Linked DNA regions of Coturnix japonica. The protein of the gene in region 2 purifies or fractionates together with the protein of the main gene of each other region. This does not show direct contact. Links are inferred from orthologs where the notes say so. Each region holds a gene or a part of one and is shown on either strand. Other genes may lie near its edges.

Region 1 (9,952 bases), on a different chromosome or scaffold from region 2:
ATTACTAAGCCACTGGCAGCAACTCTGAAGCCCATGGAAGATCAATCCATAAGGTACTTTTTCAGCCTTAGAGGGAGGTGACAGTAGAGTTGGAAATAAAACCCAGGCAGACATTTCTCTCTAAGTCCTTCACTAAACACTTGCAAACTAAAACCTCTCTGCACCATGTGAGTACCTCACTGCTTCTCAACTAAACATTCCCAGCTCCCAGGAAAAGTCAGGCACTTCTGTCACTAACACAAGCTTAATGTAGCTACAGGAAATCAGTGGTACTAGTGCTAAGTCCGCCCCCTTTTAAAGTAAAATCAACAGTGCTGCTCCAATGAAATGTTTGCCACTGGTGTTGTTAAAGTTATGGTATTTCTTAGTCATATTCAAGCTAGCTCAAAATTAATTAAGCTTAAGGGCATGACTAATTAATTAAGGGCATTATAAGCTTTTCCAAACAGTACAGAGACTGAGTGGGAAAACATGTAAACATTCATTTAGCCTCCATCAGGCTCTATTATGGTGATGACCTCCAAGAACACAGAAGACATTAAGTTTATTCCATTTACCCTGATGAAACAAACCTAGGTCTCAAATTCTAAAGCTGAGATTAAGAAAGGAGTAAAGCATCTGGAGCCATAGATCCAGAAGGCGACACCAGAAAGCAACAGCAGGACTGCCCTGCACACTGGGATCATCCATCCAGGCCTGCAGAACAGACATGCTTACCAAGTCCCTAGCCACTGAGTAGGGCTGAGAAGGGGATCTATGTGGGGAGCATTCTACAGTCCTTCTTCCCTACTAGATCAGCCTCATTTCTTTCCTTAACAGTGCCTCTGAAAAGCCCTGAAATCTGACTGAAAGCCCTGAAATGACTGACCTGAAACACTTGCCCAAGCACTGCCCACACTGTTCCTAGTTAACCTGCCTCATAAGCATTTGTCCCACAGCTCTAGGGCAGGACAGCACAAACCCATGGCACAGAGCTACATTGCTTTCTAAAATGATGAATTACCTTCCAGCTTCTGTCATTTACCACTTCTTCAACATTCAGCTCCGACTGCATCAATTTCAACTGTAAAAAAATAACAGACAAACAAAGAGGTTATTGTCAAGATGTTCCTTGCAGCCATCAGTACTCGCTACCTCTGCAACTTCTGTGAGAAAAACCCAGTACCAGGTGCAAACTGAACTTAATCATCCTGAAAGCCTGGTCCTTCCATTCAGCCAATATTTTGGGCAGGTTAAGGAAGTCTGCAAGGGGCACAAGTTACTACTGGTTATTAATTCAGTCTTAAATATCTCCTGTCAGGATTTGATAGAATGAACTGATCAGCCTTAATGTTTCCACAGACAAATATTACTTGTGGTTGAATAGCACTCAGCACCAGGGATAGCAGTGCTGTGCTTAGCTTTGTAGCCTTGAGTTCTCAGTCTTCCACTCACATATTACTGGAGTCAAACAAGATAGTTAGCAACAGAATTAGGGGAAAATCATAGATTTCTGATTTAGAATTAAGATCAAGAAGGTATAATTTTATAGGAAGTCCCCCAGTTTGTATCACTAGCAGTATGAGAGAAGCACAAATAATAAAGAGTAAAATAGATCTGTATTGAAAGCAAATAAAAATGTATTTGAAAGGCATAGTCTTAAAATAGGAAATGCGCTGTCAAGAGAAATTACCTAAAAAACAGAACCAACAACAAAACTGAACTCCTGGAGAAGGAAAGGAAAAAGGGAGGGGGTGGGGGGGGAAGTGTAAATTTGAGGTCACTTGACTGAAGGATTTCTGAGATGTTCACCAATTATGGATGATAACCTGTAGTTATTAAACATCACTGCAACCTTCTCGTTGGTTTTAGTGATAAGCTCAGAAACAAAGTGATTTAAAGAACTGACTGCAAACAAAACTTGCAGAAAATTCTAAGCTATCATACTAGCTTTCCCAAAGTATCACTGAATCAATCAATTCAAGACCTCCAAGATCACCCAGTCCAACCATCCACCTATCACCAACATTTCCCCACTAAACTACGGCCCTTAGTACAACAGCTACGTGTTCCTTGAACACCTCCAAGGATGGTGACTCAACCACCTTCCTGGACAGCCCATTCCAGTGCCTGACCACTCTTTGGGAGGAATTTCTCCTAGCACCCAAGCTGAGCATCCCCTAGCACAACTTGAGGCCATTCCTTCTCATTCTGTCGCTAGTCACGTGGGGGAAGAGGCTGAGCCCCACCTCACTACAACCTCCTCTCAGGTAGCTGTGGAGAGCTTCTCTCTCCACTGAGGCTCCTCTTCTCCAGACTAAAAAGTCCCAGTTCCCTCAGCCTCTCTTCTTAAGACCTGTGTTCCAGATCCTTCACCAGTTTCATTGTCCTTCCCTGGACATGCTCCAGAGACTCAATGTCTCTCTCATAGCGAGGGAGCCAAAACAGAACATCGTACTCAAGGTGCAGCCTCACTAGAGCTGAGTACAGAAGTAATGGGTGGATGCTCATTTTAAGTTCTGAAAGTTAAGACTTTAAGGGCAAAACCACTTGCCTGACACTTGGTTCTTCAAATATGAGTTGGCATCAGAGCACTTCTCCAAAAGCGAATGTCAAATAGTTCATTCAACGCCTGGAAATATCAAACGATGGACACTCACCCCTTGAGTTCCAGTCATCCCTCCAGGAAGTTCAAATGCATATCACTGCTCTGGAAAGAAATGCTCTTTCAAACCTCTGCTATGCCATCTAGCTCACCTCTGGTGAAGAACACCTTTCATCCAGAGGCTACGAGGCTGGGGCTCTGCACATTACAATCCCTTGTGCAAATCCAGAAGTCCCTCTCACACAAGCTAAACTAAATACTAACAACAACAACAACAAAAATTGCTTAACTGGAATTCAAAGCTTCCTGGCAGCTCCTCAAAGTGGACAGGAACCTTGATTAATACAACGAATAAGATGCTTCTCAGGCTAATGGTGAAGAAGGATGGCTTTAAGGCAGCACAGCTGTATGGTACAAGAGATAAATGTAAAGAACACTTCATTATCTTCTAGTGATCGTACCTCGGCACCTACAGCCACCATCTGCAGTCGCACTATTTTTCACAAGAACTCAAAAAGGCAAAAGAAACCTCCAGACATGTTGAAGAGAGTAAATAGTTACGTCCTTCTAAGAGACGTTTGTCAGCAAAGTTTAAAGTACATCTCGGTAGTGGAATTTCAGAAGACGTGCCATATACAGGATAAAAGCAGTTCTGTTCTGTTCTTATGGTTCTCACAAATCCAGCCGATAAGAACAGAGGCAACACTGCCTGAGTTCCACTGCCTAAACTGGGGTTGTTCAGCCTGGTGAAGGGTGGCCTTTCAGTATCTAAAGGGGGCTATAAGAAAGAAGGGAACAGACTCTTCAGCAGCATCTGTTGTAGCAGGACAAGAGGAAATGATTTCAAACTACAAGAGGGCAGACTTAGACTGGATACAAGGAAAATCTTTTTTTGCAATGAGTGATAAAGCACTACAACAGGTTGTCCAGAGATGCCCCGACCCCGGAGACACTGGAAATCAGGGTGGACATCGCCCTGACTGAGTTGTAGATATCTCTGTTCATTGCAGGTGATTTGGACTAGATGGCCTTTTAAAGATCCCTTCCAACACAAAAAATTGCATTCTGTGAAGTCAGCATCCCCTTCAGGTTCTCTCCACCAAGGAGATCTTTCCATACTGGAAGACAACCCCCATCTAAGTGACCTCTCAAGATCTCCACCACTCACCTTTGTCTGCTCTTTCCTGAGTTGCTTTAATAACGCTACATCATCCTGTGCCTTTTCCCTCTCTTCTCTGAGAGTTTTCACTACACTGGAAGTCTGAGCAATGCAGTTTTTGATGATTCTCTCTCGGCTGGTGTGAGCTTCCATCAGCTAAGTGGGAAGAGGGAAAGTCACAAGTAGGTCAGACATCAAATTAAAGAAACTTTATTGAATCAAAGTATTGTTGTGCCTACAGAACTCCCTTTGTCTCCATAATCCATATGTTAGAAGCAACACTGCTTTAAGCAGTAGGTACTAACTTGGTCTGATGGTAAAAGTTAAAGATACGCATGCAGATGACATACAAGCAAGTATTTTTGAGCACTTTAGTGGGCACCACGCACTGGAAAATCTCCATAGGTGAGCAGAAGTTAAAGGAACAGACACTTACGGACTCATAGAGCTCTTTACATGTCTGGCTGGCGTCAACTTTCCCTACAAAGGAGGCTGTAGGAATTGTAGTGTTTAATTCATGGACGATTCTGTCATCGATCGTCCTCATCACCCTGAGCAACTCCTGCATTAAATAAAAACAAATTTCAAAAACAAACTGTTTTACCCAAGAGAATTGTCCTGCAGAGCCCACAGAATCACAGAATGACCTGGGTTGGAAGGGACCTCAAGGATCAGGAAGGCTGCAGCCCCAACCTGCTCCATGTGGAAGCAGCAGGCCTCTAGGAGGACTCATAGTATTGAGAGCAGCGCCCACAGACCGAGCTGAGCCACCACACTTGGAGCAGCCCACGGGCTCCCACACGCAGCCTTACTCCATGAAGCTGTGCAGCCCGGTCACGTTTAGCTACGAGCCCTATGGCACAGGCTCTCCCGGCGGGCAGGGCAGCGCTGGGGCAGCTCATCCTGCTCCCGGCTGCGAGGCAGGGAAGGCCGGAGCCCCCATGTGCACGGTGAGGGTGCTACCGAAGGGCGGGCGGGCGGACGGGACAAGGAAGGGGGGCCCCGAGGGCACAGCGGCCGGGCGGTCTCGCAGTACCGCAGCTCACAGCAGCCCGCAGCCCCGCACAGCGCCCCGGGCTCGGCCCCGCCGCCCCGCAGCGCGATCCCGTCAGCGGCGCTACCTGGAACTCAGCGAAGTCCTCGCAGCTCACCCCGCTGCTGGGCGCCGCCATACTGGAAAGGCCGAGGGCGAAGCGGCGGCCAATCGGGGGGGAAAGGCGGGGCCAAGCGGGGCCGGGCGGGCCCTGCCTGGGGTTGGAGTGGGGCTGGAGCTGCCGGAGGTCGCCGTCGAGCCGCGGGGAGAACGGGCCTCCCGCCGCCCCCCTCCAATCGCCGGGCCGGGGCGGAGCGCTGCGGAGCGGTGACATTGAGGGGAGCTGTGCAGGGCTGGGCCGAGAGCGGCGGCATGTGGGGCCGAGCGGGTGAGTGGTGGGGAGCCGAGCTGCCAGGGCTGAGTGGGTGTCTGTCCGTCCGTCCTCCCTTTGGGCCGGGGGACGCGTAATGTGGAGCTCGGAGCCTCCGAGGGGTCCTGGACCCGGCGCGGCCCCGCAGCACGGGAGGTGAGGGGCCTCCGGGCTGAGACACAGACGGGAAAGGAACGGGCTGCAGTGCCTCGTTGTTGCTGATCATCTGAAGACCTTGAACGCTGCTTGAATTTATTTCAAGTACCCTTAAGGGCAATTTATTTTAAGTACCCTTTTATCTTCCAGTTTTTTGTTTTGTTTTGCTTTCTCGCCTGTGTCCGAGTAGATAGGTTCCTTGACGTGATGTTATGTCTTCTGCAGGAGAACCCGCTCGTGGGCTGTGATCGCTCACTCTTGTTACTCTATATATGCTTAAACTCGAGTGATATATTTTAGGATTTGTAAAATTGACTTTAATTTCTTTATTAGATTCGGATGGTTCGTGCAGTCATCTTTATTAGATTTCACGGATTATTATATCTGTAGTTTCTTTCATAGCAGTAGATTTGTACCTACTGTTCTTGTTTTCTCTTGGGGCTGTGCGGGGGGGGGGGGGGGAACAACCTCCTACCTAAAAGCCAACCTCCTCACTGCTTCACCTTCTGAGTTAGACCTACCCGTTGTGTTTCCTCTGCTTGCTCTTCAGAGAAGGCTGTGAAGCTGCTGGAAAGAAACATTCCCTGCTTTCTGAGGATGAGTCGGGGAGTGGGGCCGAAGGTGAGCAGGAGGCTCTGCAGCAAGCCCCAGGAGGAAAGTCCAGTTCAGCCAAGAGGTGAGCTTGTGATAAAGGCCATGCTACGTTTCTTGCTGTTTCTTGTTACTGGTCCCCTCCTTGAGTTGTTGACGCTGGATCAAAGGAGTGTACAGGTGTGAAGCAATGAAAAACCCCTCATCTGTACCGGGGTAAGATCAAGAATCTCTTTAACATCGTTATGTCTCCAGTAATGGATAATAAAGGGGGTGACCCTTGTGTTTTTGTAGGGACTAAAAGGAATGGTGATGCATAGCAAGGATCTGAGGGGGAGTGTTCCCTACGCTGCTTCCCAGAGACAGAGTCTTGGTGTTTAATGGTCCTTGTTGGATTTTTGTTCTGTAAATTTGTGAAGTATTCTGAGGTTGAAACTATTTTTAGCACCCACATCCTCTGGGAAGGGATTCTTCAGTTCAACAGCACTGTGAGAAAGTATCTACTCCTTATATTTGTTTTTGAATCTGTCATATGCTGTTTTTCCTCTGTTCTTCATTCAGTGCTCTCTCCAAAGCGGTGCCATTGTGGCCCACGTTCACAGCATCACTTACAGTGCTGGTGCCCTCTGTTGTGCCGGAGGGGAACTCAGTTGGTGCTTTTCCAAGTTGATGGGTTTTGGTGTCATACAGTGTTTGTTCTATGGCAGCTGCTCCACACCTGTGATCGCCCTTAGGAAATTTGACTGTTTTTGAGACAAAGGCCCACTGTTTCACACGCTTTTCAGAGTTGTGTTTTTGTACAGTGACATAATAACTCTTTTGTGTTGCTCTCTGTTCCTTTCCTTATCTGAAAGATGGTCAGGCAGTGGAATGGGCTGCCCAGGGAGGTGGTGGAGGCACCGACCCTGGAGATGTTCAAGGAACGTTTGGATGTTGTGTTGAGGGCCATGGTTCAGTGAGAGCTATTGGCGATGGGTGGATGGTTGGACTGGGTGATCTTGTAGGTCTTTTCCAACCTTGGTGATTCTGTGATTTTGAGCATTTTGTTTATGGAGGTTGAAAGCCTGAGATGAAAATTAAGGATCTGGTCTTTGCTTATGATCACCTGGTTGTTTAGACAAATACCTACAAATAAAACATTCCTGACTCCCCGGAAAGCTTAAAATTCTTTGATGCTACGGAACAGGATGTTGGCTTTTCTATAGCAGTTCCATTTGTTTTCTTTCAACTAACGCAAAAGTAGTAGGAAGGCTCTAATGTCACAGTTTAGGAAGCTTAGATGCAAATTTAGAGCTGCAGAAGAGAGATTGTGAACGAGATTTGGCTTTCCCATCTAATCAACCCTCAGTTTAATCCATGTTCAGAGGTTTATTAATCTGACCATGCGATAACCTTTTTGTTCTGTAACCAACGCTAGGAATTGTACATAAAATTCTGCATTACTCAATCTAACCAGTTAGGGATTCAGCTTTTCTGATTGTCTTTTTTGGCCGGTTGGCTGCTTTTATTGTAGGTCGGCCTGTTTTGCGGGTGCCTGGACACAAGCCTACAGAGTGGGAGAAGAAATGTTTGCTGTGGGCAGGTCATTTCAAGAAGCCAGAGGATATACCGGAGGTCGTCTCGTAAGTGCCAGTTTCAAAGCTGAGAAAGTGCCATTGCCTGCACAGGAATAAGTTATCTGAATGCAAATCCAAAATACCTTTTCTGAAGGAAAATGGGTTTCTACAGCTGCTGTAATTGTATCATCTTGTAGATGAGGTTACGTGACCTGGAGAATTCTGGATTGCTGAGCTGATTTAGATGTAAATCATTTAGATTTTTCCTGAAGGGATGACCAGTGTCTGTCAGTTGTTTCATTAGTAAGACATCACGTCCATTAATTTTTATTCATCCAATCAAAAAAGATCTTTGCAAATACTAGCATGAGCTTTTTCTTCAGCTCAGTACTCTGCAATGGTGATCAAACCACTCTTGTACTCCCCTCCAAAGGAAAGACCAAAAGCTTTTCAGTTTTTATGTCCTACATGACTTACCATGTCAAACCATCCTCACGTCATGGGTTAAAACATGATGCAGGATTCCACATTCAGTCATGTTAGTGTAAAGTGTTAGTATCCCAGTCCTGTTAATTCCATTATCTATGTTAGTCTTTGGATATAATTATTTTGTGCCATAATGTTGATGCTTTTCAATTCACCTATAATTTCATAGTATGCTAAATTTAATCAGTGAGCATATTAGACTTCCTTAAGAAGGGAATCATCCACTCTAAGTTCTGCAAGAAGAGTTAAATATATAGGAGCAGGTCGATGGTTAGTATGGAAAGGATGTGTTACACTTCATTGGTCCTTCTCATAATACAAACTTTCCATTTCCTGTAATTAAGATTTGGTAGAATGATCTTCCAGTAACGAGTCTGTTCTTTTATTACTTCTTGAGGCTTGACGCAATCCGAGCAGCACAGACCACACTGCGGGTGAAGTTCAGCTACGTAATGATCGCCTTGACAATAGTGGGGTGCATAGTGATGGTGATCAGAGGGAAGCAGGTAAGTGTAAATTTTTGGCTGGTGAGTACAAACGCATCTTAACATAAATTCCTCAGTTCCTCCTTTGGATTCTTAGAGCTGTTTGTCCTTCCAGTTCCCCAGAAAGTAATGCTCACTGATTAATTCCCAGGCCAGAAAAGGGTGATATCACTGTTAGACTGTATGTACTAAAGCAGTCTTTTTCTCCCATGGCCTTCCCACCCCAGCAAAATACTTAATCTTATCTTGCGCTGCTTTAACTCCTCAGTTTTGCTGACAGGCTGCAAGAGTTTGAAAGGAAAAGTAGTTTTCTGTTGTTAATCTGGTAGATGGGTAAATGTTCCTTGGTCCAAAAGGATCCATGCAGTTAATCGCGTGGCAAACTATTACAAATCACTGTACCCCTCTATGCACTGCAACAGCAAATAGGAGCATTTCTTCACCCAGACTGAGAATTGTCAAAGTCTTTAAACAGTGGTGAGGTAGGGCAAGCACTAATTCTGTGCTCTTTAATTGCATTAGAAAAGTCTCCTTTTACTCTTAATAGTACATTTATTTTTTTTCAATTATTGTTTAATTGAAAAAGCTGAATATTTAATAGGAAAGCCCCCAAGTGCTGTAGACACTGAGCAACCATCCTCTCTCTACTCCTAGGCTGCCTTTCCCTAAAGCCATTCTGCTGATTACAATGTTTCACTCTTCTTTCCGTTGACAACATTTTTAGGTAATGACTTTAAAACTGAGTCTCAATGCCAGCCCTGTAAATCATTGAAGTGCTAACACTTCTACTTGTCTGCATTCACTTCTCAAAATACAAAAGGATGCAGCACTGAGATGAATCAGTGGAAAGGTTTCTCCTTGGTGTCAGCAGAAGAAATCAAAGACTAACAATTCCCATAAGTTCTTCTCTCAGAGTATGAACACGAACACTGGAAAAGAGGACAACTCCTTTGGGACCTCAGTTTTCACAGCAGCTGTAGTCTATTATATTTAATTTTTTGTTTGCAGTACTTCTGAAGATGAGATTAGAACTAAATACTGACCATAAGCACAGAATACATCTGCTTGGGCTATTAACAGAAGGGCTTAACTTGTTCCCAGAGAAATGAGTTGAAACTAAAATTATCTGGATGCTCAATTTTAACCCTCTCTTTTCCAGTTATTGCCTTGGTGAGGATAGGCAAGATATCTTGTAAGCAATTCATCTGCGTGGTCCTTTAGGTGACGCTTTCTACTCATGCTTTGTCCTTATTTTGTAGGCAATAAAAAGGCACGAATCTCTTACAAGCATTAATTTGGAGAAGAAAGCTCAATGGAGGGAAGAAGCTTCTCAGAGCACATCTGCTAAACCTTAGAGGAGAAAAGGAAGAAGCCACGAATGGAGGAAGAATAGCTAAAGTCCCATTCAGCTCCTTTTCAGCGAGTTTCATGTATTTTGTGCTCAGTACTCGTGTTCAAGAATGAATGCATTATCCTGTAATCATTAAAAACAATGTTTCCTTCCTGGTACCTTTCCTCCAAACCCTTTCTCA
Region 2 (9,213 bases):
TCACGGCCAGACCCGCCCGCGCCCCCGGTCCCGCTCCGCCCGGCCCCGCCGCTCTCTCGCGCTCGCCAGGTGCCGGCCCGGGGCTGGGCTCGTCCCGCGGTGCCGGGGGAGGCGGGTGGGGCGCGAGCGAAGGGCGGTGAGCGGGGCCGGGGCCGCGTTCCTCGTTGTCCCGCTGGGGGCGGTCGGGAGGGACGGGGTGTGGGGGGATCGGGACGGGGTCGGGACGCTCCGCCGCCCGCGATGGCCTCGGCCGTGCCCGGGCTGCGGTTACATAAGGGGCGGCCGTAGCGCCGGGGGTCAGGCGCGAGGCCCAAGATGGCCGCGCGGAGCGTTCACCTTGCGGCGGCAGCGGGCGCCGCGCGGCCCGGCCCGTAGCGAGAGGGGATCCGCGCTGCTTCGGTTTTGTGAGCACGGAGCGAACCGAGCGCTGTTTGACTCTCTCTCCCTTCTCCGTAGAGTCTGTGCATTGGCCTAGCTATGGCTACGTCGTCCGCGTGCCAGGCGTCGAGGTGTAAGTAGGGAGGTAGTTACAGCGAGGGTAGTAGTTCTCGTTTAGTAGCTCCGTAAGCGTAAAGGAGGTCAGCGTTAGATCGGACATGTTTTTAACGGTATTTTCAGTATCGGTTTATTGCTATTTTCAATGATAGGATACAATTTCACTTTAGTTGTTGCCGTTTAAAAGTATATATAAAAGTTTATATAATAAAAATATTATATATTTTAATACATAATACTTAAGTATTTTGTTCCTAATTCTGTGCCCTCTAGGCTGATCCTCAATGTCCTGAGGTCTGGAAATGGTTATTGAAGCCACTGGCATACCTTAATTACTAAGTGTGGGGCTCTTTCCAAGTATTGCCTCGAAAGAAAGCTGTGATGTAATACTTGTGACAGCCTTCACACATCTTGGCATTTCATTTTCTTTTTGCTTTGGAAGAAAGTATATTTAAGTAGCAGATTATTTCTTTTAGGTCTATATAGAAAGGGGGATAAAAAGAAAAAGTGGGATGCTTACCTGAAATAAGTATTTTCTATGTTCCTGAAATTAGGATATTTGATATCTACTGTCACAACAGGCTTGTAATTAAATTGTAGCTTTATTTTAGGTGCTTCTAATTAGTAAGAAGATGAAAGACGCTTCAAAACATGCTCGAATAAAATTGCTTCTCATCATAAGGATTTGCAAATCTAGTGAATTTTTCAACACTGGAAGAAACAGAATTGATATATTTTGGCCTTTAAAGAGCTTTCTGGTGGTGACCCCGGCTTACGGGGTGTTTTATGTACCCCCAAATAACATCTGCTTTTTCCTCTTGTGTCCCTGTCAGCGTATGAATTGAAACAGCAACGTGAAGGTCATAAGCTGTTTTAACTCCTTATCAGGAAACCTGGGCCTGTAGGCTGGAATGGCTGACAAGGATTAGTCAGTTTCCTGCAGTAGGGAGGATGCTTAACTTGGCCTGATAAAAACAGCAGTATCCTTTTATTGCAGTAATTCCACACATTTAGTTACAGGCAATTAAAAATATTATTTTTTAAACTTTAGGGCCTTAGCATAAATCTCTTGTCTATGATGAATATCTAGTCAGCTTGGGAACATTAAAGATGAAAGAAGTTTATACATACAGTCATATATTTTTATATGTAGTAGCCTTAAGCACAGACATGCATTTTGATACTTCTGAACTAGTAATAATTATTCTTCTGGAGACGGTAGTTGGACCTACTCAGAGGAAGAGTACATAGCTGAAACTTCTCAAAGCCCTTTTAAGCTACTAATGAACTGGACACCAGGGATTTGGAGTGAGAGAAGACCAGTGCTCCCACACTTTCTTCAAGTTTTGTCCTGCTTCTGTTACTTTTTATTGAATAAATCATAGAAACCATTTTGTCTCATCACTGGGACTCACATCTGTTTCTGCTATTGAATCATCTTTTCCTTAGGCTTATATTATTATTTATTTTTTTAAGAGTTTACTCCTCGCAAGAACGGATTTGTTTTATACTCCCCAGCAGGTGCTGGGTTGATTCCTTTACTGACTTCTGTGTAGAGTTTAGCGTTTCTTGCTGAAGAGGTTCTTGGTTTTTCTTTCAAACTAAGCTAAGCCTGGATGATTTTGCGATGATGCAGTTGAATTTTTCCTTTTGGGCTTTAGGAAGATGGAGAGAGGCACCTGGAAAAACTGTAGTAGATTATAGGAAACCAATGTTAAGGCACAAGACCTTTTTTGTACAATAAATGTTTTTAAAATAGTATTAGTTCATACAGTTAAGCTGCACATAGCAGTTATAATCAGTGTATATTATTTGTGGATGCTGTAGTTAAGCAGTCTGCTTTAGTGGAATGGTGCCCTTGGAAATAATTCTGGGACAGGTGTTTTCAAGCAAGTTTTCTTGTTTTGTTGGTAAGGCCAGAAAATACAGACTTTTAATTAAAAAAAAATGGGGGAGTGCTGGGAGGGAAGAGCCTGCTTTGATCCCATGTGACTAATGTACTGAACTTGTAGAGATCTGCAGGAGGTGAATAATTCTATAGTCAGAGGATGATAATTGAAATCTGGTTAAAAGTGCTTTATAAGAATGGAAAGCGTGTTCAGTTGAAAATTAATATACAAGAGTATGATCTTTGTTTTAGAATCTGAAGGTGTTTTTTGAAACAAAACCCACAGAGGAATGAGATAGTGAATTATGTTCATCTGTCTTCCAGAAAAGCACGTGTGACCAATTAATTTTAAAATAAGATTTTTAAATTTTTGTTTAGGCAATTTTTAAAGGAAGGATTTTTTGATTGTGGAGGCTTTTTTATGATGCTTTCTTAGCTAGTGTTAGTGTTTTCCCCTTTGTTTTTGTGACCCTTTTGGGGAAATCACCATCTTTGCGAAATATGTTCTGTTTTCTCTATTTTAAAATTCGGAATAGGCTGCCTCTAATATTGGCATTTTAGTATTGAAATAGAAGGATAGTAGTCACCAAAGGAAGGTATGGATGGCGAGTATCCTTTCAGGGAGGAGGAGCGTCGTGCAGATCTGTGTGGGACCTTAGACTGGCATCCAGCAGGCCAGGGAAGCTGGGTCAGATCTGGACGTGAATGACAGGTTCTTGAACACTGAGTTTGCCAGAAGCTCTGTCTGAGAAGAGCTCTCCTTAGAAGTCCATTTCCCTTTCTCGCTTGTATGACTTGCTAAGCTAACAAGGTGCTCACCCTTCCCACCTTTGCCCCAGGACTTAAACTCTTGCCCTGTGTAGGAGGAAAGATCTTCATCTGAATAATTGCTGGTTAACAGCCTTTGAAGATCCTTTCCAAATCTTATCTTGACCATTTTAAATACGGGGGAAGTGATGTTGCAAAACAAATACGCACACTTTCTCATATTGAAAATGAAACATTATGGGTCTTCTCAGATAACTTCCATAAGCACCTGACTTTGTAAAACTTACAGAAACATCTACCAGTGCAGCTTTCCATATTTCTCACTCCTTGGTTTTCAGTGAACGTTCAGTTGGTTTGTGATAATTAAAGATGTAAGGAATAAAACTATTTGAAAAATAAAGATTTCTGTGGTGGCCCCTTGACAATAAATGGGCTACCTGAGCCAAGAAAATGTTCAGTGTTCACGATTATCAGAAAATCTGTAGATTTTTCACAACGTAATGTAATTGAACTATCTGTCGACTGGTAAATACCCTGATGTATGAATCTGCCTTAAAGAACACCATTAACTCTTGTGGTAGCATTTTTGTATGTGTGTGTAGTAAAAGATTGAATTGTAATTACACCATTACCTTTCAGGTTCAATGGCGGTTCCTCCATCATACGCAGACCTTGGCAAATCTGCCAGAGATGTCTTCAACAAAGGATATGGTGAGTCAATGTAGTGTATTGAGTGCGCTGCAGCAATTAATTGACTTAGTTTAGCATGTATGTGGAGTTCAGTGAGTGCTCAAATGCCTGTGCTTCTCGGAAGGGAGGAGAGTATGCTTCATTTAAAACATTTCTATCAGCTAATGAGCCAGCGGAGGCTTTTTTGTGAGCTATTTTGATATGAGGTCTGTTAAACCTTACTGCATTAATCCCATTAATGTTAAGGAAAGAGCTGTGACAGTGTGCAAGGTTAGAAACATCCACTGTTACACAGCTTAGGACTATATTTGCACTTCCTTTATGGATCTTTGTGCAAATGCATTTGTTGATACACAAATGTATATATACCAATGTAACTTTAGTGTGGTTTTGTTGTTGGGGTGTTTTCTTTTTTGGAACAGAAGAGGAAAGAGTAGCCTGAAAGAATTCTCTGAAGTTTTTAAGTAGGCAGTTGCGTAGTTTAAAAATAAACAAGTGCTTAGTTGCAGTGCTGTTTATTTCAGGTCTTTAGGAATTATTGCAGGAGCTCATTCACCAGGGTTATCACTCAAGTTGGAGTGTAAGAAAATGAAATTATTCTCCCATAGTCCTTATGTTCCGGTGGCTGTGTATTTCCTCGTGACTCCCCATTCAGACTTTTTCTTTGAGACCTTAGTGCTGACTTAATGCAATAGGGTTGCTCTTTAAATGGCATTGAGTACAGAGTAGGTGCCATCCAGGGAACAAGAGAATGTACTCTGTCTGTCACTAAGTTTACTCTTGGAAGCCATCTTTTGTTAGTAATAAGTACGATATACAAGAGAGGCTATTCCTTGCTAATTCTTTAGTGATGACAGACAGAACTCCTAGTTTGTTCTTAAAATGACCTCTACTGCTTTAGCATTTGAAATTCAAGCATTAAAACCAGCCTATGCTAGGTTTTTTATGTGTATGCTTATATGTGTGTATATATACGTGCACATGTTGGAAAACCGACACCATGGAAAATCTGCATAGTCTTAGTTAAAGCTTAACTTTTAAAATGTAACTTCTGTTTATTAAGGGTTTGGACTGGTGAAACTGGATGTGAAGACAAAATCTGCAAGTGGAGTGGTGAGTTTAAGTACTTTTTCATTGTATTTCTGGGGGCTGAATGTTTGCATGCTTGTTTAATTATATGTGAGCACTTTCCAGATACCATCAAGTAGCTTGTAGGTTATATTAATGCTATTAATGAAAATTTCAGGAGCACCTAAAGCTCTGACTTCACTTTGAATATAATACCACTATTACAAATATCACAAAAAACAACAAAAAAGCTGTCTTAATCTTTGTAAAATAAAATGGTTTCTTAGCTTTCCCTCATGATAAGCCTAAACAAGTATTTGACACCATTTTTGCTGTTTAACATGCAACTTTGTCTAAATTTTTGACATCTTACTCCATGTGTGAAGTAGTTGGTAGTGAAACAGCGCTGTGCATTTCCTTTAAAAGGTATTCAAATGCTGTTATGTTCCGTGGTAGATATCTTGGTAATGCAAGCAGTATCTCCTGCAACTTCCATCTGTTTCTATAGCAGACTTTGCAAGATGTAAAGGTAGATTCCGCCCCCCAAGAGCAGGAAGTTTTAACTGTGTAACTGGCTGTATAAATACAAGGTGTGTGGGTTATGTGCTATTTATTTGTAGAGGGCTGCATTCCAGAAGAAACACTGTTTGTGAGGGTCCTATTATAGATGTAGTCCTTTTTCCATTTGTTTCTGTCAAGGTCTAGTGGTTATCCTGCTAAAACTTACTGCAAAATTCAAGCTCTTGTGTGAATCCCATTTCAGTTACAACACCTCCTTCCCAGGAAGAGAATGTGCATAAACTTATATTAAAGACTCCTTGTTTGGTTTGATTTTTCTTTTTTCCCCGCCCTCAACAGTACCAGACTTAACCTTATTTTGGAAAGCTTTTTTCTTCTTTTTGAGAAGAATGCTTTTGTATTGCTTTTGAGTTGCATTATAAACCTCTATTTTGTAATAGCAGTACACACTGCATTTGAGATGGAGGGTGAGAAGGGAGAAGTCTGTAATGTGGATGTGAGTCATCTGGTTCTTCTAATCCATGTTACATTGCTGTCCCCTGAATTATCTGATGTTATATAGAACAGGATCTTCAGTGAAGAAAGGTCTTTCTCTTCTGTCACTTTGTAAAGCTTTCAGGATCACATATTTATTTGGTATAACACAGTCACTGTCCTTTCTAGGAATTCACAACATCTGGTTCATCGAACACAGATACTGGAAAAGTGAATGGAAGCTTGGAGACCAAATACAAGTGGGCTGAGTATGGGCTGACTTTCACAGAAAAATGGAACACAGATAACACTCTGGGAACAGAAATTGCAATTGAAGATCAGGTAATAGATTAGCTGAGTATTCCTTTCTTTCACTTAACTAGCAGGACTGAATTTATAGCTTTATTTTCTCATTCTTCGTTTAGATTGCCAAAGGCTTGAAGTTGACATTTGATACAACTTTCTCACCAAATACAGGGTAAGATTTTTTTTGCCTTTTTACCTTGTGTATCATGCTACACATGTGGTTGGTAAATGTTCCATCTGGTGTGTCAGATCAGCAGATGTTTGTTATTGGTCCAAATTAGCAAACCCCCGTGCTAAAGACTTCTGCTTTTCCACACTGGATCTTATCCTGGGGGCTTAGTATTGGACACTTCAACTGTCTGTTTCTCTTGATTTCTGAGATAGAAATATTTAGTTGGACTATTGCAGGAGATGTGAATGTGTTTCTACCTTCATCACAACGCATCTATGGTATGATTTTTTTTTTTTAATAGTTTGAGTTACCTGTGATTTGGATCAGTCTTTTGGATATATATGCATGGCATTTAGGTGCATTCTGTTGAGGCATGTGGCTCAAATTTGTCTTCTCATTGAGAATAACCAAACTGTCTTAACCGTTTCTCTATTTCAGAAAGAAAAGTGGTAAAATTAAGTCAGCATATAAACGTGAATGCCTAAACCTAGGTTGTGATGTTGACTTTGATTTTGCTGGGCCTGCAATCCATGGTTCAGCTGTCTTTGGTTATGAAGGATGGCTAGCGGGCTATCAAATGACTTTTGATAGTGCCAAATCAAAATTGACAAGGAATAACTTCTCTGTGGGTTACAAGACTGGAGATTTCCAACTTCACACCAACGTGTAAGTACTGGTAATTGTGTCCTGTTCTACAAAAGCAGGTTTTTTTCTGCCTTCCTTCTATATACACGTTTAAACTACCAAGATGTGCTTGCAAGGCACATCAGCAGCATGAGTTTTTGTAATATCAAACTTTGTAAATAAATACTACTTTGTCTCTTTTTCAGAATGCTGAATACACTAAATAATGACTTGTTAAGATTTACATGCTACAGTTTACCAGATACTTGGAAGCTTGATAAGCTCGTTATGCAGAGCTGGTTGAAAGACTTTATCCAGCTTTCCCCATGTGTTGAGCTGTATCTGACTAATTTAGGAGGCAGTCCATTTGTTAGGGGTAGCAATTAGTGCTGCACTATTTAAGTGGGCCAGAAGCAGTTTCTGGAACAAAAATAGTTCTGCTTTTTGAGTAAGTTCATCTTCCTGTATTGATGGGATGAGTGCATAAAATGCCTAGAGTACAACTGGAGTGTGAATGAACTGAAGTTCATTCTGAACTTGCTTCAAATTGCTGTAGTTAGAGACTTTGGGTGTTCTTTAGAGCAAGCTGACTAAAATCTGAAGAACGTGATACTTCACTGTAATCTAATACATTGTTTTAGTATGTTTGTTTAGGTCATAACTTGATTTTGAGATGGATTTTCTTTTGAATGGGGATTGTTCTGTCTGGTTTCGTGGAAGTTGAGATGGGGAAAGCTACAAAGCATGATATAAGAATTTCATTTTCATCTTCCCTTATCCAGTCTAAAAGTGGGAAACAAACTTTCTAAATTCTTACTTAACTAGAAATTTGAACTGCTTCTTAAAAAAAAGAGTGAGTTTATGTAGATATAAGAAGTTGTATTTTTCATCTATGCAGCAATGATGGTTCGGAATTTGGTGGTTCAATTTACCAGAAAGTGAGTGACAGTCTTGAAACTGCCGTAAACCTGGCATGGACAGCTGGTAGCAACAGCACTCGCTTTGGAATTGCAGCTAAATACAAGTTGGATTCCAACGCTTCTATCTCTGTAAGTATGATTCTAACAAAAAGGGTTATGCTAAACAGAGCTGCTTTTCAGTTTCTGAGCATGTATGTTAGTACAAAAGAAGATGACTAATCCAAAAGTCTTGCAAGAGCTAGACTGGGAATCCAAGCAGTTACTAATAAAACAAGTAGTATTTAAATGTTGCCTGCAGTGAAGTTTGTAAGAGATGCTGGTTGAAATCCATACTGCAGGCAAGTTTTCTGTTATAAAGCTAGAATTTAACTTGGAATTATTTCAGTAGTCCACAGAGAAATTGATGCAAAACGGGGGAAAAAACGTTTTGCATATCCTTGTTATGTTGGTACTCTGAAATGTCTACTACTTTTTTTATTGGATATGCAAAATATGGATTATTTTCTAATAATATAAATATAAGGGATTTTTTCCGAAGTGGTTTGTTTTTGGCAACTGGTGATGAGTTGCTGTGTTCTCAAAAGAGTGGAGAGAAGTTCACCAGCCAAACTACATTCCATTAACAATTAGTTCTCCCTGCCTCTGCAATCCTGTCTTCAATTAAATGGATTTATATTCTTGGGCAAAGGCATAGCTAGGAAGACAATCTAGTAAGCACAGAGATAATGAAAGAACATGTAGCATGTTGATAGCTCCTAATAATAATAACTCTCCAATTAAAACATTTCAATTGCTTCTGTGTTTTTGTTTATTTTTTCCAGGCAAAAGTGAACAACTCTAGTCTAGTTGGATTGGGTTACACCCAGACCCTGAGGCCAGGTAAGGGCTTTCACATCCATGCCTTTCATGCATGACACAAACAATTAAGTTTGGTGTATTTATATGCAACTATTTTGAGTTTACAGAATAATTTTGTCTTGAAGGCAAAGTAGATACTTGACAATAAGTTCTGTTGCACAGAAAACCTTCACGTAAGACAAATTATGCTGTCTAATGGTATTTCTGCATCATATTCCTCAGTGGTTTGTTTAACAGCTGACTATCACGTTTGATAGCTTAACTTTGAACTTGTTCTGTTTAGACATGCCAACACCTGTTAATGCGATATCACTGTTGGTTAGTTCTGTCTGAAAACGTATAAAAATCATACTTGCATTCCCTCACAAATCTTTCTGTGCATAGTTTTCCTTCTTGATGCACACCTTCAGGTAGAGAAGTTATCAAATGAA
Region 3 (9,900 bases), on a different chromosome or scaffold from region 2:
TCTTAGCATCCCATAATTTCTACACTAGGCACCACACAATGGATTCCACATCCTGTGTGATGTGACAATTCCATACCTTCATGCTCAGGCTCGTTTTGGATCCAGTAAAGGATAACACTTTGACCTTCACTCTTTGTCCTTTGCTCACAACATCAGCAACATTGGCAACACGTCCTTCTCTTCGAAGCTCAGAGATGTGGACCAAGCCCTCCCAACGCTTCCTGTAGGTAAAACATGAGACATTGAACATTATTACTCAGATGGTCTTTCAGATCATTCAGAGTCTGGATTAAAATATTTTGTTGTGAGCTGATTGTCTGTGGATGTTCACTGTTCTTTGTAAAAATAGTTAACAGTCTCTACTGTAGCATCATAACCTCTTTAAGACCCCAACAGAAAAAAGTAGAGATAAAATGGTACCAGATTTATTGTAAATATTATAACATACCTCAGTCCTTCCAGCTGCACGAAGCACCCAAACTGCATTATACTGGTGACTTTCCCATTGTAAATGTCTCCAATGGAAGGCTCCTCAGGTGGCGGACGGTCTACGTGCTTGTCTCTCCATCTCTCATTGCTCTTCTCAATATACTTGTCTCGATCCCTACGGTCCCTACTTCGACTCCTGCTCCTCGAGTAGTATCTGGATTTACCTCTGTTCCTATCCCGAGTCCTGGAACGAGACCTAGAGCGAGATCTGTGCCTTCGTTTCCTGTCCCTGCTCCTGCTTCGGCTTCTTTTCTTTTTCTTTGCCCTTAACAAACAAACAAAATATATTAACACTGAAATTCGACAAGAGCAAGTAGACATTAACTGCCAATATCCAGTCCCTTAAAAATGAACTAATAACATACCGGTGGTCACTGCTCCTTTGTTTGCTTTGCTTGTCTGCACTAGGCATCAGAGCTTCAAGTTCTTTAAGTGCATCTGCTGCCACTTTCACATCATCTTCATCCAGCATAGTCTGCAAAAACAGAGAATCATCCTATAAGACAGCTGAGATAAAAATCCATCACAGAGAATTCACCTACAAAAAATCATCTCATGCATTTCTATTCAGAAACACAAACTTAAAAGAAAAGATCAGGCAGAATACATGATAAGAACAAATATTAAATGTAATAAAGCTATTTTGCCACATTAGTGGACCAATTCTGCTTCTACATAAAGGATCCCTTCAACCCAGCACCTCAAATTACTATTGAGTTACAGAATATAAGTTTGTAGAAGTAACTATTGGTAACAGTTATTCCTAAGGATTACATCCAATAATATCAGCCTTTGGGCTCATTGATGTTTTAATTCTCAGTCTGCTCTTATCCACGCTTTGGCTGGAGATATAAATGCTAACGTGAAGAAAAACCTGAAATAGAGACACCAAAAGAGCCACAAACTACATTTTCACACACTCATTAAAGGAAACTGAAATGATGACCTTACCCTAACGTTGGGATTGTCTGGCCTGCAAAGGGCTGGAAATAATTCCTTCAATCTTTCCTTTTCCGATTTGGGTTTGGTAACGGCCTCTGATTTGGAGATGAACAAAACAAACAGATAGTTTGTAAGAGTCAAAATGATTTCATCTCAGCCTTTCTGAAATTGAATGTTAAACTTTCAGCCACATATAGAGGTTAATACGGATCTTATTATTTTAGAATATTAAATATATTGCCCTCAGCAAACACAAGACACAAACTGCAAAGGATTCGAGAGCACAGTTTGGTTGGGTTTGTTTCTTTTTAACTGAACTGATGGAAGGGAAAAGAAAAGACTTCACTCACCTTTACTCGCAGATGGTTTTGATGGAGGCCGCATCGTTTGTATGAGACGCAACAAGTTGCTGATAAGGGAATCCTGCAAACAGAATAGAAGGTTTAAGATGTAAGAGGTGATAGCATCACTTTTGGTCATTATTACAAAGCACAATATGGGGGTAAACAACAGGGCAAAGATTGAAAGGCTGAATATTGCATAGCCCTGCAGTATAGCCAATCCCTATATCTCCCTTTGATAAAGGAACACACAGAACACATTCAGATCTCACTTACTGTGAACTCAGCCCCATTCTTTAGCAGAACGGCTTTAAACGTGTCAAACGTCGTGTTTTTCTCGGCGAGGCTGATCACAAATTCGGCTACAAAGAAAGAGCACAAAGTGAATCAAATAGCACAAGGGCACAGAATCACACAGAATCACAGAATGACCCGGGTTGGAAGGGACCTCAAGGATCATGTAGTTCCAACCCCCCTGCCTGGCAGGGCCACCAAACATACACATTTACTAGATCAGGTTGCCCAGGAGACCCCATAGATCCCCATAGAGACCCCATAGATCCCCATAGACCCCATGGACCCCATAGATCCCCATAGAGACCCCATGGACCCCATAGATCCCCACAGAGACCCCATAGATCCCATAGATCAGGTTGCCCAGGGCCCTGTCCAACCTGGTCTCGAACACCTCCAAGGTGTTCAAGGGCAGCACCCAGATCGATCCATCTACCTACAGAACAGCAGCATCCCCTTCTAGGCGCTCACATCTAAACGTTTTATAATATTTCTTTTAGAGATATATTTTATTCTTCTCAATTCCAAAGGCCTTTCGTTGAAGGCATCATGGCCGTCAGGCCCGGTTACAACCTCCCCACAGCTATCACCCCACCTCACTCACCCAGATCCTTATCGTTGATACCCAGGTGGTTGTCAAGCTCGGTGCAGACCTTAGAGACCAGCGATAAATACTCGAGCTTGGCGAGCTCCTCTAAAGCCGCCAGGTCCGCCATCTTTCCCCCACCCCCACCCCACACACCAGGAGCCACTTCCGCATCCGGGAAGCACCGGAAGTCAAGCTGATCATAGAGAGGATAGAGAGCTAGAGCGGCTCTGTCCGGATCCAATCAGCGCTGGGGGGTGCCGGAAGTGGCCGTTGCTAGGCGACGCTTGCCGCCGCCATGTCGGCCTTGCACTGGGAGGCGAGGCGAAGGCAGGCCGCGCTGGAGCGGCGCAGGGCCGCGTTAATACGGGTGTGTGTAGAGCGAGGGAAGGGCTGGGGAACGGAGCTAGGGCGGCTCTTATAGCCCCATATGTACTTTGCAGTCCGCGGGCTGCTCTAGAATGGATACGAGGCACGGTATTGATAACAGCCCGACGCAGGCATTGCCTCCCGGTGAGCAGAAAGCGGCCCTGGGGTTAAAGGAAGGGCTGAGAGCCGGGCTGGGCTCTACTCAGCTCTACCTTGTTCCTATTATAGAGCCTCAGCCGTATCGTTGCTGCTGCCCGAGTCATCAAGCGTCCAACCCAAGTGCCAGGCTGCCCAATCGCTTCACGGTAAGGAGCTGCCTCAAAGAGCTGAGATCCATCTGTTTAGAAGCCAAAGTAATTTCCCTTTGCATCTATAGGCTATTCAGTACATGCAGCAATGGTGAGGACCACAGACCACAACAAGCAGAGCAAAGCACCGCCTGTGTACAGCACAAGGAGCCATGTCAGCTAAAGCTAAGAGCTAAATAAAATAGCACTGCGCCTCAATGTCAATGGTCTGTGTTAAGCATTAAGCTCCTTCCTCTGCCTGGGCCTGCCCGGCTCTGGGGTTGCAGGCCCAGAGGCTCATTGCTATCAGCGAGCTAAACAACCAATAGGAAGCAGCCTTGCTCAGCATGTGGTACCGCCGCGAAGCTCGCTGGGAGTTGTGTCCTACCCTGTAACTACAATAACAACGAAGAACTACAAGTCCCAGAATGCCTCGTGGAAAGCGCGGGCCAATAGGGAGAGGGCGTGTTGAGGTTGCACGCATGCGCGGTAGGGTGGGAGGCCGAGGATTCATGTGGAGGTCAGGGGAGCTGCGGGAGGAGAGTGGGGTGGGAGGGGGCGGAGGGTCTTGGGGTATTGGAGCTGAGCTGGGGGCTGAGGGTACGAACGAGGCCTTCACCCGCCAGGTCTGTGTCCTGAGAGTCAGAGGCCTCGGGAAACGTGGGTGGGAGGAGGGAGGGGGGGAGAATGGGGAATTAAAGGGGGTTCGAGGTGTGGGGTTCCTCGAGGGGTTTTGGGGGGGGGGAAGGGGGGGATGTGGGGTCTTGGGTTCAGAGTCCAAGGTGATAAGGGGGGGGGGAGTGGAGAGGCCTGTATGGCTGCTGAGGGGCAAAGAAATTGCTATTATAATGAATGATCCCATTTCATGGTGGGCTTTTTGGATTGGGGTTCCATCCCAGCTCTAGGTACACACTAGGGCTGCCTGGTTTTCTCGTTTCCTATAGTTTTACCGAAGTTATGGGATTTTTTTTTTGCAGGAGGTTCATCATAAAGGGGTTAGAACAGCACGTGAGAAATGGCTGCCAAAGTGTTTGAGAGCATTGGGAAGTTCGGCCTGGGGTTGGCTGTTGCAGGTGGAGTCGTCAATTCTGCTCTATATAATGGTGAGTGGGACAGGCTGAGTGTTTCCAGTTCTCTTTATGTCCTTATTATCTGGCTGCTCTGTGCTTTTATTGCTTGTGGTATCTGGGGAAGACAGTGATAAAGCCTCTTTCAGGGCTGTTTTGTACCTTGTGCATTGCATAAGTAGGAGGAATTCAGGCTTTTTCAACACAACTCTCTTGTGAGCAGGCTGAGGGCTCAGTGGTAATGGATGAGTATTCTCTTTTGATTTGTTATTCCTAAGAATATTAATAGCTTTGCCATTTTTACATAGCAAAAAGCCTTAACTAACCTCCATAGACTGTCCCTATGGAAGTTTTGCTGCTGTGCAGATATAACTCATGATGCTACTGAATCTATGTTGTTTTCTTTTCCAGTTGATGCAGGACACAGAGCTGTTATCTTTGATCGATTCCGTGGAGTCCAGGATACGGTGGTAGGAGAAGGAACTCATTTCCTCATCCCCTGGGTACAGAAACCGATCATTTTTGATTGCCGTTCTCGCCCACGTAACATACCTGTCATTACTGGCAGCAAAGGTGAGGTTTGGGACTGGGCAGCTCTATAAGATCCAGGCACTCTGATGTGCACTGTGTGTGTCTCACTCTTCTGCTGCTTTGGAGCTGGGTGGGCAGAGGCATGAGAAAAAGCTTTTTGAAGACACTTATGATCATTAACGTGCTAGAGGACTATAGGAATGAGGGTTTTATCTCTGAACATGGAGATTCTATGAGTGTAGAGTTTAGCAGTCAGGAATAGTTTGATACTTATCCTTTAAATAAAAAGTCTGTGTTTACTGTAGGGTAATTCCCTGCATTACAGACAAACTGAAGCTTCAGTTTAATCTGTAAGGAGGATTTGGATCCCTATGTGAAATATAGTCCTTGGTTAATGAAATACTACAAACCTTTCCTTTGTTAGAAGTCTGAATGTTTGTCTTATTTTGCTTTCCTCTGGAGGGGACAGCTTCAGTATATCTCCTGCCCATAAGGTTTAATGCTAAATTTGTGCCTGTTTCTGCAGATCTACAGAATGTGAACATCACGCTGCGTATCCTGTTCAGACCCGTGACTGCGCAGCTACCCCGGATCTTCACAAGTATTGGGGAGGACTATGATGAGCGTGTCCTGCCCTCCATCACAACTGAAATCCTCAAATCTGTTGTGGTAAGAACAGCACAAATGCTGGGGTCAACCTGTCGCTTCTCTTTTGTTTTAGCACTAATGAGACGTGCTGAATTGTGGAAAATGTGAAGCTCTAAAATGAGGCTTCTCTTTATACCCCTTGGCTCTAATGTGCAATACAGAAGAGTTAAAACTGTATCTATGCTGATTGCTTCTCTGTCGTTTTAACTACTTGGCTTTATTTTCATCAAGTTGGGTGACAAGTAGAGCATCTGAGAGCTTTCTTCTCACTGTTGTCCATCCTGACTTCAGGCTCGCTTTGATGCTGGAGAATTGATCACTCAAAGAGAACTGGTCTCCAGGCAAGTGAGCGAAGACCTCACAGAGAGAGCAGCAACTTTTGGCCTCATTCTGGATGATGTGTCCTTGGTAAGAGTTCCCTTTCAGTTTTTCTCCCTGTGCAAATAGGGAAGAAAATTGGTAGAGGATCGGAGAAGAGGTGTGAAAGCTTGTGTATGTGGACCCTGTTTGTTTGCAGTTGCACATGATGCAGTGGTTACAGCTCAAGTCAAAGTAGTTGGTTGTGTCACTGGCCACCTATAGACTTTGTTTTTTAAAAGGATGGAAAGCTTGCTAGGTTTAGTTTCTGTTACACTGCATTCTTTTTTTTAGCGATACTGACTTTCCATCTTCTCTGATAAAGGCAAAACGCCTCCTGCCTTAGACATGTGCTGTTGGTAGCAGTGTTGCTGTAAATGCTGTTGTGGACTGTGATTTCTGCCTTGCAGACCCATCTGACCTTTGGTAAGGAATTCACCGAAGCAGTTGAAATGAAGCAAGTGGCCCAGCAAGAAGCAGAGCGAGCCAGGTTCATTGTGGAAAAGGTACTTTATTCTTTTGAGAAACTTTAGCTTGGAAGTAGTTCCTGGTATCTCAGTCATTTCTTCTCACAGTGAATACTTTAGTCACCTGCCCAGGAAACCAGGCAGGTATATGACAGGTGTCACTCAGAATCATAATGCTAATATAGTTCAGTGCTCAAATCTTCTCTAGACAGCTGTCCACCAGGAGTGCCCTTAGGCGAGCTGCTGTTTCATGAGGTTAAGATAAGACAATTTCAAGTCGATTTTTAAACATCCCCTCCACAATAGGCAAATATGTGTTTGTGTATATATGTGTATATGCACAGCTTTAACATACAACCACCTGGTTTAGCTCTCTTAAGTCTTCTGAAGGAAAGAACAATAGAGTGGTGAAGGGGGAATTTATACTTAAAGCTTGCCTGTAGCATCTTCCTTCTGTTTCCTTTTCTGCTCATTTTTCTTCTCACCTGTTTTCTTGCAGGCTGAGCAGCAGAAGAAAGCAGCTGTTATCTCAGCTGAGGGAGACTCCAAAGCAGCTGAGCTGATTGCCAACTCGCTAGCTACTGCAGGTGATGGCTTAATTGAGCTACGCAAGCTGGAGGCAGCTGAAGATATTGCTTACCAGCTTTCAAGGTCTCGCAACATCACCTACTTGCCCTCTGGACAGTCTGTTCTCCTCCAGTTGCCGCAGTGAACCTGGCTCTGCAGCCACAGCTAATCCGATCACCTTTACCTGCCAGTTCAGCTCTTTGCAGAAAAATCATTGCATTTTCCTGATTGGGTAAAGCAGAGAAAATGAAAATTCAACTGATTTAGGATTCTTTAATAAAACTGAACATGCTTCAGAACAAACCTGTGTGCTTTCCATGTATTGTCAGAGTAGTGGCTTCACTGACCAATTAATTAAGCTAGGTTTGAGAACTCAATCTTCCTGAAAAGTCGGTGCAAAGGAGCTTTCTTCTGTTGGTCTCTGGGCACATATAAGTGGCCCAGTGACCTCCGAACATCACAGTGCTTGTACCATGTGTTGCTCCAATATTTAGTGCCTTTATGCTGCCTGTTACAAAGTTGCAGGTCCTTGAACTGTGGAACAGATGCTGAGGAAGAGTGGCTCTTCAGTCAAGCCAGTGTTTTCTCAGGTGTTAGCTAAGGGAAGGAGGATACCTTGGCTGTGTAGTGGCTTTGCTATTTATGAATTGTGACAGCTGGAAAGACAGAGCAGATTTTGTCTGGGAGTGATCCTGATTTATTCCCTGCCACTTCTCCTTTTGTTGTGTAGCTTCGTTTCTTTCACCAAGGTCAGTGGATGTGACAGTCTCACTCTGAAAAAGAGTGCTCAGCAGGGCACATGAGATTAGCTTTTCCAAAGAGCAAAACGAATGCAAACTGAAGAAGGGATGGGGTCGGCAGCTATGCTGCTCTCCCACCAGATGGTGGCAGTAGCAGTTCTATGTGCACGTGGTGGGGACCAAGCTGTGCCTCAACCTGCCTGGAGAAGAGATCTTGGGCAGAGGATGCACAGAGCAGACCTGGAGAAGAGCACACACAGTAGCACACTCCCCAGCCAAGGGAGAAAAAAAAGGCCAGTATAAAAGCTGTTTAACAGGCAGCACTGCTCTGGAAAGCAGGCAGAAGTATTTAATCCCTGTGCCAGGCTGCACTAGTAAAACTGATAACCATTTGACTGTATTGTTTCCAGGCCATCTGCAGGTTTTATCCCCTATAAAATACAGAAAATACTGAACTATGCAAATGCCTGTCACCTTCTAACCTCGGTCCCAAGGTGGCTTTGCTTTGTAGCAACATAAGAGACCTGCTGGGGGGAGGTTGTTGCAGGGCCCTGTACTAGGAGGAATGTAACCCTCTGTGCTGGCAAAGGTGCCAGAATGCATCTCCTTCTTTAGACCAAAGAGCAGCATTTGGTTGCCACCTTCACACATCAAAGCCTTACAACCCATAGTGAAATCTCCCAGCCCACCCTGCTCTGATTTGTCTACAAACTTCCAAAGAAGGGTGTGGGGGGGACTCTTTTTTTCCCTTCCCCCCAGAGACTTGGCTTTACTACGTTTTCCCTTCATGCTAGTGGAAGAGCTCAGCTTTGCACTAACCACAGCAGCTGGGCTAGCCTGCTAGCAATATGCAGACCAGCTAAACAAGCTTTTGGCCAGGATAAACAAATAGGAAACTGTTTGATTTCCTCTGCATTCACCCAATCTCTTCCTATTTAACAGATAACCAGCCTACCTGAGCTGAGAGGAGAGCAAAAGAAACCACATGGACAGGTACTTTGGAACAGCTGTACTTTGCAGAATGCTTGTTGCAGAGGAATGGGCACCTACCCTGATAGTTGCTAGCATATGAAATCTGCTGAAACCTCTCTAGGTAAGGGAGCTCCCTGAGCTTATGATAATTTGTACCCTGCAGCAAACTGGCAGCGTCTGAAGTGGTTAGAATAAGGAATAGGGAGGAGTTTCCTTATTGCTTCTTTTGTACTGTGGATCAAGCAGAAAAAGCCCGTCCCAAAATGCAGAGAATGGGGGGAAGCACTTGTGGAAGTAGGTAGGAAGTGAATAATTGCCTAAGCCAAGCTGGAGCTCAGCTGGCTTAATTATTCCTTGCATGACACTAGGCAGCACAGGGGGCAGAGAGTCCCCTCTGAGTCTTGCTCTACTGCTGTTGTGAAAACAGCATTTGAGATTCCTTACACTAGATCTGCATACAACATTGATCTGGACTGCATCAGAAACCTGCAGTGAGTTACCCCTGATCTCTTACAGGCCATAACCGTGCCTAAGTCTGGGACAGTGCATCCCAGCTGCTGGAAGGCAGTGCAGAAAGTGAACAGTATGAGATGCCAGCTGCAAGACACGCTCCTGCACCCCAAGCTGGTAGACAAAATGAGGCAGGAAGGGCAAAAGGAGGCTAAGGAAGAATGTGTGCAGGATGCCTCTGAAGCAGTAGGTTAAAAATACACAGCAGATGGAAGGACAGGAAGGAAGCAAAGATTAAGCCTGAACAAGGTAAGCCCACCCCAGAGACATTAATGCAACATGACTTTCATAGGGGTGAGTCTCACTGTGCTCCTTCTGCAAAGCTAGTAAATATTACTCTATTGAAGAAGCAATTGCTTCCTTTCAAACATGGCTTTTAATGGGTAATTTTCAAGCCCATAAAGGTGTTTTTACACAAGAAGCTGGGCTAGAATACTGGATGTGGGTGGAAGGGACCACAGTTTAGCCACTTTGTTCCCCACTGGCTAATGTATAATGGACCTGTATTCATATAGCTCTGGTAGGAAGTTGATGCTGATCAGAGTAAAAGTGTTCTTAACAAAAGAACACAAGTGTCTCAACAGCCTCATAAGGTGGAACTCACAATTACTTCATTGCAAGTGTTAAAGCTTATGTAGCAGTCACAGCACCAAGCCTGCCTTAGTTCAAGAAGTGTCTGTACAAGCTTAGACATATGGTTTAATTTTCAGGTAGTCCCGCATGGAGTCAGGAG

What was found.
Region 1: the proteins of VDAC2 (region 2) and FAM162A fractionate together in Homo sapiens (co-fractionation; 3 studies listed by BioGRID and IntAct, with this or other methods). This does not show direct contact. The link is inferred for Coturnix japonica from reciprocal best matches to the Homo sapiens genes VDAC2 and FAM162A.
Region 3: the proteins of VDAC2 (region 2) and PHB purify together in Homo sapiens (affinity purification with mass spectrometry; 4 studies listed by BioGRID, with this or other methods). This does not show direct contact. The link is inferred for Coturnix japonica from reciprocal best matches to the Homo sapiens genes VDAC2 and PHB1.

Annotation. Positions count from the first base shown.
Region 1 is NC_029516.1:69,174,358-69,184,309, forward strand, and holds the start of FAM162A (protein FAM162A), read left to right. Parts: upstream 1-5,110; 5' UTR 5,111-5,148; coding exon 5,149-5,164; intron 5,165-5,852; coding exon 5,853-5,978; intron 5,979-7,406; coding exon 7,407-7,515; intron 7,516-8,332; coding exon 8,333-8,441; intron 8,442-9,679; coding exon 9,680-9,775; 3' UTR 9,776-9,952. Other genes in the region: CCDC58 (coiled-coil domain-containing protein 58), read right to left, coding at 1,004-1,063, 3,753-3,899, 4,180-4,305, 4,865-5,110. UniProt on the Homo sapiens protein: Proposed to be involved in regulation of apoptosis; the exact mechanism may differ between cell types/tissues.
Region 2 is NC_029521.1:12,472,868-12,482,080, reverse strand, and holds part of VDAC2 (voltage-dependent anion-selective channel protein 2), read left to right. Parts: exon of another isoform or gene 1-69; intron 70-456; 5' UTR 457-477; coding exon 478-511; intron 512-3,790; coding exon 3,791-3,862; intron 3,863-4,904; coding exon 4,905-4,954; intron 4,955-6,091; coding exon 6,092-6,244; intron 6,245-6,327; coding exon 6,328-6,380; intron 6,381-6,818; coding exon 6,819-7,046; intron 7,047-7,902; coding exon 7,903-8,053; intron 8,054-8,745; coding exon 8,746-8,803; intron 8,804-9,213. UniProt on the Homo sapiens protein: Non-selective voltage-gated ion channel that mediates the transport of anions and cations through the mitochondrion outer membrane and plasma membrane.
Region 3 is NC_029542.1:2,950,064-2,959,963, forward strand, and holds PHB (prohibitin), read left to right. Parts: upstream 1-3,728; 5' UTR 3,729-3,828; exon of another isoform or gene 3,829-3,934; intron 3,935-4,285; 5' UTR 4,286-4,323; coding exon 4,324-4,411; intron 4,412-4,786; coding exon 4,787-4,948; intron 4,949-5,432; coding exon 5,433-5,575; intron 5,576-5,733; exon of another isoform or gene 5,734-5,845; coding exon 5,846-5,962; exon of another isoform or gene 5,963-5,989; intron 5,990-6,321; coding exon 6,322-6,417; intron 6,418-6,877; coding exon 6,878-7,090; 3' UTR 7,091-7,248; downstream 7,249-9,900. Other genes in the region: ATP-dependent RNA helicase DHX8, read right to left, coding at 77-221, 449-754, 855-964, 1,441-1,526, 1,782-1,854, 2,049-2,134, 2,671-2,782.